Diceros bicornis minor: one gene and its partners. The protein of the gene in region 3 interacts with the protein of the main gene of each other region in a biochemical or structural test. Links are inferred from orthologs where the notes say so. Each region holds a gene or a part of one and is shown on either strand. Other genes may lie near its edges.

Region 1 (3,747 bases), on a different chromosome or scaffold from region 3:
GAGCCGGCCCAGTGGCACAGCAGCTATGTTCTCGAGTTCTGCTTTGGCGGCCAGGGTTCATGGGTTCAGATTCTGGGCATGGACCTACTCACCGCTCATCAAGCCATGCTGAGGCGGCATCCCACATAGAAGAGCTACAACTCCACAACTGTGATACACAACTATGTAATGGGGCTTTGGGGAGAAAAAAGAAAGAGGAAGATTGGCAACAGATGTTAGCACAGGGTCAATCTCCCTCAAAAAAACAAAACAAAACAAACCCCTTGTTTGACCACTGAGCTTTAAAAAATAATAACAAACGACCTCTCACAATCCGGCCCCAATTTCCCTTTTAAACTGTTCTCCTCTCTCCTCCCCCTTCCAAGATGTGGCCGCATTGTTCTCTCACCCGACCCGGCTTTTCCATCCTCCGTGCATTTTTTCTCTCTCCACTCGGTGATCTCCTTGAAGATTCATTCAGTCATTCATTTGTCCCTTCATTCATTCAAGGTGTGCCTACTAAACAGTCAGGCAGCGTGGGGGGCGTTGGACCCAACTCAAAGGACTACAAGGAACCTTCTTTGACCGAGTCTTACCCCTCCCCCAACCCCACCTCCACCTCGGCTCTAGGGTTAGCCCTTATCACCCAACTGGGTGGCTTGTCCGCGTGTCCTCCTCACTCTCTCCGAAGGCGTGGAAGGTGCGTTCTTCGCCTTTTCTTCAAAGCCTGCCACATCGTGAGTGTTCAATGAACCGATGAGGGGGTGAAAGACCAACCAATCCCTGCCTTTTCATCTGAGGAATGAATAGGGAAGAACGGAACAGGGAGGGTTGAGGGGACCATCCACCCTGATGTCCTAATGTAGAAACTAGGTCTTCCCAGAGTGGGCCAGGTCGGCTAGGATCGCCGCACAGCCCTGGACGCTCCCCAGCTCAGCGAGGCATTAACCTAGGCCGGCCTCCCGACCCCCCACCTCACCCCGCCCCTGCCAGCGTGGCGGGGAGGGAGCCGGGAGCGAAAGGGACAAGCAATGGGGGGTGGCGCTGGCACCCGCGGGCAGGAGACCCTCAGTAGGGGCCCTCCGACCCAGGGCTGCGGAGGAACCCACGAGCAACAGCTGCGTGGACCTGGGTGGGACAGCCGCGGCGGGAACTACAAATCCCAGGGGGCGTCGAGCCCAAGAAGCGGAAGGGGAGGGTTTGGGCGGGGCGGGCTGGAGCTGGGAGGAGCGGGGCGGGAGCCGCGGCAGGGACACGCTCCGGCTGCGGGCGCGGTGCGCGGTGACCATGTCCCGGGGCAGCAGTTGCAGCCAGACCCCAAGCCGGGCCATCCCCGCCACTCGCCGGGTGGTCCTCGGCGACGGCGTGCAGCTGCCGCCTGGGGACTACAGCACCACCCCCGGCGGCACGCTCTTCAGCACCACCCCGGGAGGTAGGCGCGGGCTCGGCTGCGGGCTGTGGGAGGACGGAGCGGGCAGAGCGGGAGGGATCGGGAATCGCCAATTGGACGGGGCGGCCAGGCTCTGGGGGCGCGGTGACTGGGAAGGGGCATCAAGGAGGCAGCGAGGGTCACGGAGCGAGCGGGTGGCCGCCTCCCATTGCCTGCCCTCTGAGTGCGTCCTCCAGAACCGGGGCTGCAAACTGCCCCGTTAAATTTCCTCCTTCTGGGAGAGACAGCTGAGCGTCCTCCACCCTAACAGATATTAGGACTGCCACATGCTGAGGTGTGCTGCCCCTTGTGGGTGTTGGGGACAGTTCTGGGGCGGAATAGGGTGGGGTCAGGGCGGCCCACAGATCAAAGAGGGGCCTGGCCTGGGGTTTTTAGGGATGGGATGGGCGTTCTCTTTTGGGATAAATGATTCTTGCAGAGTCCTTTTTCCTTCCCGAGGCCCCCCCTGTTTTGCGTTGGGCACGCACCCCCTGACAGGTTTTGGGCTGAGAGTGGTCGCCTGCTGCAGCCGGCTTCTGTGGCAGATTGCCCATTTACGCATATGGGATCTCCACAGAGGGACCTGGGGCCGCGGGCAGCACTGTGCCGAAAGACACGTTCTTCTGTTCGGGGGGAGGGGGACCGTGTGACCTCCCTGAGAGTGGATGAGGAAGAGGAAGCTGAGCTGGCACGGGTAGGGGCCAGCCTCAGGCTGTCCTCGGGGAGCCAGGCATTCCGTCCCAGCCCGGGAGCCCAGGCGCACAGGCGCTGATGAAACCTGCCCGCCGGTTTGCATGATGAAATCCTCGTGGCTCACCACTTCCCTCCCATCCTAGCGCTGCCCCCACCCCCTTTTGCCCTTTTCTCCTCCCCTACACCCTCCTCCACTGCTCTTGCCCGGGCTACTACTCGAGAAACGCCGCCGATCCTGGCGCTCCGCTGAGAGGCAGGGGTGCGGGCGGACGCGGGCGGGGCGCAGCCTCATCTGCCAGCGTCGGGGGCCACACGCTTGTTTTCTCAGGCAGCTGTCCCACCGCCAGCGAGCGCAGCCAGCTGCGAGGTCTTGGGCTATTTGATCCAAAGCATAGAACGTTAGGACTGTTAGGGATCTTAGATGTTCTCGTCCAACCGTGCTGCCTTTTTTTTGAGGGGGAAGGAGGGAGGGGAGGGGGAGAGTAGGCAGTTTTTCACGTTTTATTGTACTTTATTAAATTTCACCATTAAATAGCATATGTGTATGCTGGTCTTATGACGAGATTTTTGAAATGTAAAGTTATATTAGACATAGAATGTAACAATTAGAAACTCTAGGGGAGGTAAAAATTCTGTCTACAAACATTTACACATTTTAGAGGCACAAGTAAATGATATAGGGACAGGAAGACATTATGTAAAACTTTGGGTTGTAATTGGAGGAAAAACCTGTTCAGGACTGAACTGAGGTCCTTGGTTGCTGACAGAGTCTCCCTTGGATTGAACAAAATCCCTATTAGTCAGGAGAGACAGTAGCAACAGGATAGACTAAGAAATTGGCTCATGTCTATCTGGAAGGTGGGGGCTGGCCAGTCTGAAGAGAGCAGGGCTGGCTGGAGGCTGGAAATCCAGTTGGATGTTGCAGCTCAAGTCTGAGATCTGTAGATTTAAAAGTTTGGAAACAGTCTAGAGGCAGAATGTTAGTGCATCTCTCAAAAATCCTTGTTTTCCAAACAGGCTCCTAGGATGCTTTCCTCAAATGGGGCTGTGCTGCCTTATTCTACAGAACATGGCACTGAGGCCCCAGAGCTTGAAAACACGTGTCCATTGTCCAACGTTACATTGTTTTCCCAGATTGAACAAGAAATAGCAGCCAAGCATTGCGGGGGAAAAATGCTCTCTCTTCTATTAAAAATGATCCAAGGGGGGCCAGCCCTGTGGCATAGTGGTGAAGTTCAGCGTGCACTGCTTTGGCGGCCGGGTTCATGGGTTCAGATCCCAAGCACGGACCTACACCACTCCTCAGCCATGCTGTGGCGGCGTCCTATATATACAAAAAATAGAGGAAGATTGGCACAGATGTTAGCTCAAAGCGAATCTTCCTCAACAACAACAACAAAACGATCCAAGGAGAAGTTCCCAGTGACTCTTCTTGCCCCTTTTGACTCGTTCTCTTTCCCTGCTGGGCCTTTTGTAGTCCACGCTGTTCTGCTTTCTCTGTGTCATGATGTGTCTTTCAGGACCTTTCCTGACCATTTTAGGGTTCCTTCGAGTGATGTGACTCTCTGCTTGATCTGTGCAGAGTGGGCACTAAGGCAGGCCTGAATGCTCAAGTTAGCCCTTTTTTGCACCCGTTGTTGCTAGAT
Region 2 (3,747 bases), on a different chromosome or scaffold from region 3:
CTGTTACTATTGACATGCTGAGACACAAATGAGGCCTGTTTCCTGAAAAAAGTGAGCAACCTGTAATAGAAAAATATAGGTTCTGAGAACCACTACATTACTAAAAAATAACGAACAAATAAAATGCCATATGTGTTAATATACATCAATACAAAAACAATTTTAAAATGCCACATATGTATATGGTGTTATAGATTAAATAGCTACGCTGTCTAAGGAGACAAGCATTCAAGGAATTTGTTCTGTTTCTCTATATGGTTTCGGGATTTGGGTTTACTGTACCCAAATCCAATGATACACAGCTCAATAGTTTCCAAAATCTGATTTGTAATTGCTCTTTTCCTAAGCATGCAGTTAAAACAAAATAAAATAAAATGAATGCTGGTTGAAGGAATTCATAGTATACACTTCACACCACAGGGACACATAGAAGGCAGAAGTTAGCTCAACAATCCCACATTTAATTAACATTAATTTTCTCTCCTCTAAATAATGACTCTCTCTCTCCATCAACCACCTTTCTGGTCTGGTAACTATAGTAACACTTATAACAAAGACTGTGTTTAGCTCAGGTAGGACAGGAAGATGAAACTTGGAAAAAGAAAACCAGATGAAACATTAGAGCAAGTCTTCACTATTTTTAACAATGAAAAGAGACAATTTTTGATAAAGACCTCACACCAGGTCTATGCAGCACTGGAAAGGAGCAGTGGCTTGTGAGCCAATTTTCAAGCAACCCTGCAAAATAGGTATCATTATTCTCATTTTACAGAAAAGGAAACTGAGGCTCTGAAAAATTATGTGACTTTTGTAGGGGCACTGAAATAATAAATAGCAAAGCCAAGACTCTCCCTCTCCCCACTAGCCCCATTAACCCCACTCACTGACAGCCCCAGGACCAGCGGTTTCCGTCCTGTTCAAATGTCGGAGGGCCAACCCTCTCACTATGCGCATGCTCATTTTCAAAACTCAAAAAGCTACGGAGAACGAATGCGCATGTTCCACAAACGAAGAGTTTTGTTGTGTATTTTTTTTCCTATTCAGAAAGGTTAATTACGCATGTTCAAATTCAATTTATCAACTTCAGACATGGTACGCATGCTCACTGTCTATCAAAGATTTAGCAGAAAATGCGCATGATCTAGCTCCCAAGAGAGGCTTCGGCTGGGGTTCTGCGCATGTTTCCGCCAGTACCTGGCTCCTGGCGATAATTCTACGCATGTTCATTGCCCACAGTTCGGCTTCACAGAGCCCTGTACGCATGCTCTAGCGCTGAACTTGAGGAGCCAGTCTAGGGCCTAGGCGCAGACGCATTGAGCCCAAGCAGCCGGTGATGGCGGCAGCGGCGGCGGTGGCTGCGGCGGGTCCGGGCCCATGAGGCGACGACGGAGGCGGGACGGCTTTTACCCAGCGCCGGACTTCCGAGACAGGGAAGCTGAGGACATGGCAGGAGTGTTCGACATAGACCTGGACCAGCCAGAGGACGCAGGCTCTGAGGATGAGCTGGAGGAGGGGGTGAGGCCCGGGGTCCCGGGGGGCCCGAGGTGACAGGGCCAGGGCGGCAGCGCGGGCCCTGGAAGCCGGGCGCGTCCAAGAGCGTGGAGACCCCGGGGGGCGCCAGTAGTCTCCAGGAGGAGCTGAGGCGCCGCGCGGCCCGAGGCAGGGGAGCGGGCGGGGCGGACCTGGCCCTAGGTGTGAGGCCGCTGAGGGGCTCGCAGGTGCAGGTCGCGCCCCTAGCCCCAGATCAGCGCAGCCTGGAGCAGTCTGTCTGTGGAGGGAACGAGAAAGGGCGTGTGTTGCATTTCCCGAGCTGTTGGACTGGAGTGTGGCGGGGCGCGAGTGGTGTAAGCATGTGTTGGGGGGAGGGGGACTGCGCTTGCTGGGTGTCCCGTAAGTGCAGGTGAAGTGCGGAAGGGTTTCCCTTGGAGTATAAGATTTCAAGTATTAAATCTTCAGACCTCCCACAACCACCTCTCTTCTCGGCCTGTCGCTTCTCTCCTAGGAAGCGCTCAGCTGTTAGAAGTGACAGCTGAAAACTTCTGTCGGGAGTAGCGCTGCCGCTGCTGTTACAGCCACCAGGAGTTTTATTTCGGGAGCAAGGGGGCTCTGCTGCATCTTCCAGGGTTTGTTTGTTTGCTTTTGTTTTTTTTTTTAACCCCCTTCCGTGTGACTTTTTTAAAAAAACGCATTTATAACGACACACGGCATTTGTAATTTACTTTTCCCCTAGTTGAAGATGTCTACGTTTTTTCAAAATACTTTATGTAATTTTGGGGTGCAAAAAAAACAGCGTTGACAGCTGTGATTTGACTTGCCAAAAATAAATTGCTTGAATTGAGACTTGTGAATGGTGGTGTGAGGGCTTTCCTTGCTTTAATTTAGGGTGCCAAATTTAGAATTGTTTTTCCTAATGCATAGCTTGGTTTTACCTTTGCTGTCTTAGTAGTCTGTTATTCTTTACGGAATGTCTTTTGTCAAGATAAATTTATTGAAAAATCACAGTTGCACCTGACGTTAAAAAATGGTGTTGTCATACTAAATCACTGATTCTGGGTAAATGATCATCAATGATAACCTCATGGTAATTTAGATTCCGTTGTCTAGATGAGTGCATGGGTTAATGACTGATGTCAGAAATTTGCTTTTAACTACATAAGAAGCTTCCCTTTTTTTCCTTCATTTGATTTTCCTCCTCTGGCAAGTAAGTTGTACTCTGCTTGTTGACAAAAGATTGAGATGCTATGTTTAAAGAACTTGGAACACTTTAAGAAACTAAGTGGGCTAAAATAATACTGTTCTTTTCATAATCAAATGAATCTAAATCAAAATCACACAGTTTGGAAGTTGGGTATGAGATGTGTACTTTTTAATAATGTTTGCTGTGGAATTCCAGTTAGCCTCTGAATTGAACATGGGATACACTAAAGATAGAAACAAACGTGAGATTACTTTCATTACATATAGCTTACTCTCATCAGTTATATTGGTTCCATATGGCAGTGGCTTTGGAGCAGGGCAGGGGAGAAAACTGGATAGGAAGGATGTTTTATAAAATCTTCATCAGTTGAACTAGTAGAATTTCCAGATCATGGGTTTATTAGAAGTTAAAGGAGTTGGAAGTAAAATACCATATTAAGATTTGTTATGAACTGGGACCTCGTTGGTGTGTGTTTTGGCCTACTCCTGGACAGTTTGTTTTGCTGGGTACAAGGAAATAGAATCTTGAGAAAATGTGGAGATGAGGCCAGAGAAATTGGTGGAAATAGGAAAGAGAAAGAAATGTGGCTACTACCCTGGGGGGAAGAACTTTGGGGAAAGAGCAAAGATAAAAGAGGATTTTAAGGAAGAGCCTTCAGCAAAATATATCTTACTTAGCAATGCTTTTGGAGTTGAAAATATTTCTTTGGGTGTGTCATTCTAAGAGGTGCCTCAAGGTAGACAAGCGGAAAGAGTTGGAGTGGGATTGGTTTGGCCACTCAAGGAGATTCAGTGACATCCAGTTTTCTCTAAGTTAAATTTAAAAATTCTGAAAAATGAGAGAAGTTTAGATTCTCGGAAAATCTAGCTATTGTGAATTTATAAATAAAGTTAATATTCTATTTGTGAGTTTATAACCTTTAGTGCACAAACTTTTAAAACATTGCTGCGTACCAGAGTAGCCTCACTTTTTCATTTTATAGTAAGGAAAGTGAGGCATTGGCCAGAGAGATGAGTGCCCAAGACCGCATAGATAACTAGTAATGTGTC
Region 3 (3,747 bases):
AAATATTGATCTGCGTTATCATTATTAGTGGCTACACGTTTTCCTTAATATGAATGCATATTTTATCAGACTCCAATTGTGAGATATTTAGGAATTTTCAATGTTTATTATAATAAACAGAATGTATTTAAAAACTGAGATGTCAAATTCCATTTTTAAAACTGATTTTTTGAAGGGATGTTTTAACAACCATGCTGCTTGAAAATTATTTACGAGTGGCTCATTTAGTTCAAACTTGGCTATGGTTTCTCGCGAATGATCTTGTGAGCTAGATAATTTTGGAAAAGTGGGAAAATCTAATTAAAAGCGCTTTCAAATGCATATTACACTTAACAAAAGAGAAATCACGGGTACATAAGTTGAGCTAGTCCGAAAACTTTAGGTCTTTTGCTCCAGCAGCTACCGGGCACCGGCTTCGTTCACACTCTGGTCTCAGAATTAAACCGGGCGGGGTCACGCACCTTCGCCCACCCCTCGCGGTCCCATCTCACCGCACCACACAGCGGACTCCGCGCGGCTACAGCCCCAGTGCCGAGGGGAATTATAGTAGCGACGCACCGGATGTGTGCGTGGAAGCCCCCGAAGTCAACTCACGACCGATTGGTCCTCCCGAGCGAACCTAAACCTCCTTTCTCCTGCCACTGGTCGCGTGGTTTGTCTATTTGAACAGTCCCCGCCCCCTGGGGAAGCCGGGTCCCGAAGCCCCACTGCTCCTTCATTACTATTGGTCTGTGTTCCAGTCCATCTTCTCTTACGCCTGTCGATTGGTCCTTAGCAATAGGAGCCCGCCCTCACTCCCGCCCCGGCTTAGAGGACAGCGGGCCAGGCGGGTGGTGGGGCCGGGGGCCTGAAGTGGCGGTACCGGCGCTGGCGGCGGCAGCTGAGGCCTTGGCCGAAGCCGCGCGGTGAGTCTGGGGCCTGGCACCGACCCCTCCACGGCGGCGGAATGTCCTGACCCTCGGCCGGCGTGGTCCGTGGGGGGGCCCCGGGAAGTCGCCTGTCTGGGACGTGGGGTCCCCTCAGTACCGGCCCCACGGACTTGGGCGCCGCCTGAGCTCTTGACCCCCGCCCCGCGAGGCCACGCCCACCTCCTCCCGGACCCCGAGGAGAGCCCCGCACCCTGCAGCCTGCCGTGGTCTCTGGCGCCGCGTAGACCGGCCCATCGGCTCCGGACCTGCCGGGACGCCTTGGGGTCTCCGTGCCCGTCAGCCACCCCTTGTTCTGAGCCGCCTACAGATGTCCTCAGAGAGGACCAGCGTCAGTGTCGGCCCCGCGCAGTGCGCCCCGGAGCCTCTCGAGGACCCAGTCCCGGGGTTGAGCTGGTTCCGCTGGGTTCGTCCTCGCCGTCTGCCCGCCCCCATCCCTCATCTCAGCCGCCCAGTGAGCCCTCGCCAAGACCCCTGGGGTGTTGGGCTCCCAGTATTTTCATCGAATTCTGTCTGGAGCAGATGGCCGGTGGGCCTCAGACCTTGTAAAGAGGTACTGGGTCTTTCCTGAGAATGGAAATTCCTCACCAGCCTCCCCCCATCACGGACACCCCACCCTCGCTCCATAGTTGTGTTCTCATCAGGGATCCTTGGGTTTCCTCTTCCCGAAGAATGACATTTCCTTCTGCAGTTTTTGTCTTGGCACCAGAGTATTTAAAAGCTTTTCAAAACCAGTTCTTCCCTGTTTTTTCCTCTGCATCTCACAAATTATTCCAAAAATAAGAATTTTGAAAAATTGGTTTTCTAGTATAATCTGAACATTCTTGGGTCAGGTGTGCGTTTTACTTCCATAGCAGTCTCGGCTGAGCCCTGTTATGTCCACTTTATTGTGGTTGCCTGATTATTTATGTTTCCCTCTAGATCCTGAGCTCATTGAGGGAAGGTACATAACTGAGGAATGAATGCGTGATCTCAGGAACTGATCAGTCTGTTTTAGCTCACATTCCCAGTACTAGTATTCTGTAGAACTGCACTGTCCAGTACAGGAACCACCAGTCACATGTGGCTTAGCGCACTTGAAATGTGACTAGTCCAAACCGAGATTGCCGTAACTGTAAAACGCACACGAGATTTTGGAGACTCAGAACAAAAAAAGAATGGAAAATATATCAATGATTCTTTTATACTGATGACACGTTGAATATTCTATATATGAGATTAAATAAAATGTATTAATTACACCTGTTTTTTTACCTTTTTTGATATGGCTACTAGAAAGTTTAAAATTACATTTGTGACTCGTATTATATTTCTGTTGGACAGTGCTGCTACAGAATAATAACGTTTCCCTCTTTAAGTTGAACTCCTTGAGGAAAGCGGCAGTCTTAGACAGATTTTATTCTCTCTCGACCTCCCTACCTCTAGTACCTGGCGCTGTGCCACGTACGTAGTAGTAATAATGATAATAATAGCTAACAATTACGGTTACACTGTGGCACTGTTTTAAGCACTTTTCAACATGTATTAACTCGTTTAATCCTCACAGCAACTCGATGAGTTGGGTGCTATTATCCTCCTATTGCAGTTGAAGAAACTGAGATGTTTTAAGTATCTTCTTCAAGGTATATAACTTTGAACTGGATTCAGACTCAGTCCGGCTCCACAGCCCACAGTTTGACCCTCTCTGCTACCCTGCCTCTTTTACACAGCAGTCATTGTTAAATGAATTGAGGCTTTCTACACGTTCCTCAGTGAGGTCTCCCAACCTGTTTTAGGATCCCCTACCTGATGGGCTGGGTGGAAATTTGTGTTCAGGAACTGGGGCCATAAATAAATTCATCACCATAGTTTGTTATCCAGAATATTTAAAGGAAGCTTCTCTCCATAGAACCTCAGGGCAAGATGCTGGGAACCGGGCCTGCCGCCGCCACCACAGCTGCCACCACCTCTAGCAACGTGAGCGTTCTGCAGCAGTTCGCCAGTGGCCTGAGGAGCCGGAATGAGGAGACCAGGGCCAAAGCTGCCAAGGAGCTCCAGCACTATGTCACCATGGAGCTTCGAGAGGTCGGGGCTTCTGTCATTTGGGCCAATCGTCATGGAGTGTTTGGGCTAAATGTACCATCACTGGTTTAGATTCCTTTTGACAGCTAAGTAAGGATTCGGAAAATGTAGAGGTTCTGTTTTAGAAAGGCACCCGATTTCTCATGTCCAAAGAATGTGCAGTTTCCTTTGCAGTGGTTACACATTTCCGTGGCCTTTCTTGTGTTGTGACATTTTAGGAGTCAGCATAGAGTCAGCTGTTTTTTTAAATTTTTTTCTTTTTCCCATCACATTCTAGACCCTCAGTTCTTTCTGCCTGATAACAGTGGTTGGGATGGGTTTGAAGAGGTGATAGCTTAGGGCTTTCTAAATAGAGACCAGACTTGAAGTCAGGGACAATGTCTTGTTCATCCTTGTACCCCTGGTACTAGGTAGAACCTAGGACAGGACGTGGCCTGCCATGGAGTAAATACTCAATATGTATTTGTTAAACAGGTGAGTTGTGAGTTCACTTGCTCTACAGTTTAAAAGTATGGAGTTGGGCAGTAGCTTTGTCGTCTTTGTTTTGAAATGTACCTGCTGGCCACTTCTCAGGTCTGAATCTTTGGAAATCCCCCTGCCACCCCCCACCACCACCATAAGGAAGACATTAGAAATTGTTCTGAGTATATCTTCCTTTGCAGATGAGTCAAGAGGAGTCAACTCGCTTCTATGATCAGCTGAACCATCACATTTTTGAACTGGTTTCCAGCTCAGATGCCAATGAGAGGAAAGGTGGCAT

What was found.
Region 1: of the proteins of MTOR (region 3) and EIF4EBP1, one has a biochemical effect on the other in vitro, tested with the Homo sapiens proteins (29 studies listed by BioGRID and IntAct, with this or other methods). The link is inferred for Diceros bicornis minor from reciprocal best matches to the Homo sapiens genes MTOR and EIF4EBP1.
Region 2: of the proteins of MTOR (region 3) and RPS6KB1, one has a biochemical effect on the other in vitro, tested with the Homo sapiens proteins (18 studies listed by BioGRID and IntAct, with this or other methods). The link is inferred for Diceros bicornis minor from reciprocal best matches to the Homo sapiens genes MTOR and RPS6KB1.

The regions. Positions count from the first base shown.
Region 1 is NC_080768.1:34,699,838-34,703,584, forward strand, and holds the start of EIF4EBP1 (eukaryotic translation initiation factor 4E-binding protein 1), read left to right. Parts: upstream 1-1,234; 5' UTR 1,235-1,266; coding exon 1,267-1,411; intron 1,412-3,747. UniProt on the Homo sapiens protein: Repressor of translation initiation that regulates EIF4E activity by preventing its assembly into the eIF4F complex: hypophosphorylated form competes with EIF4G1/EIF4G3 and strongly binds to EIF4E, leading to repress translation.
Region 2 is NC_080757.1:28,016,944-28,020,690, reverse strand, and holds the start of RPS6KB1 (ribosomal protein S6 kinase beta-1), read left to right. Parts: upstream 1-1,327; 5' UTR 1,328-1,374; coding exon 1,375-1,515; intron 1,516-2,024; exon of another isoform or gene 2,025-2,123; intron 2,124-3,747. Other genes in the region: TUBD1 (tubulin delta chain), read right to left, coding at 1-60, 885-960. UniProt on the Homo sapiens protein: Serine/threonine-protein kinase that acts downstream of mTOR signaling in response to growth factors and nutrients to promote cell proliferation, cell growth and cell cycle progression.
Region 3 is NC_080752.1:30,491,021-30,494,767, reverse strand, and holds the start of MTOR (serine/threonine-protein kinase mTOR), read left to right. Parts: upstream 1-822; 5' UTR 823-905; intron 906-1,161; exon of another isoform or gene 1,162-1,479; intron 1,480-2,814; 5' UTR 2,815-2,828; coding exon 2,829-2,990; intron 2,991-3,649; coding exon 3,650-3,747. UniProt on the Homo sapiens protein: Serine/threonine protein kinase which is a central regulator of cellular metabolism, growth and survival in response to hormones, growth factors, nutrients, energy and stress signals.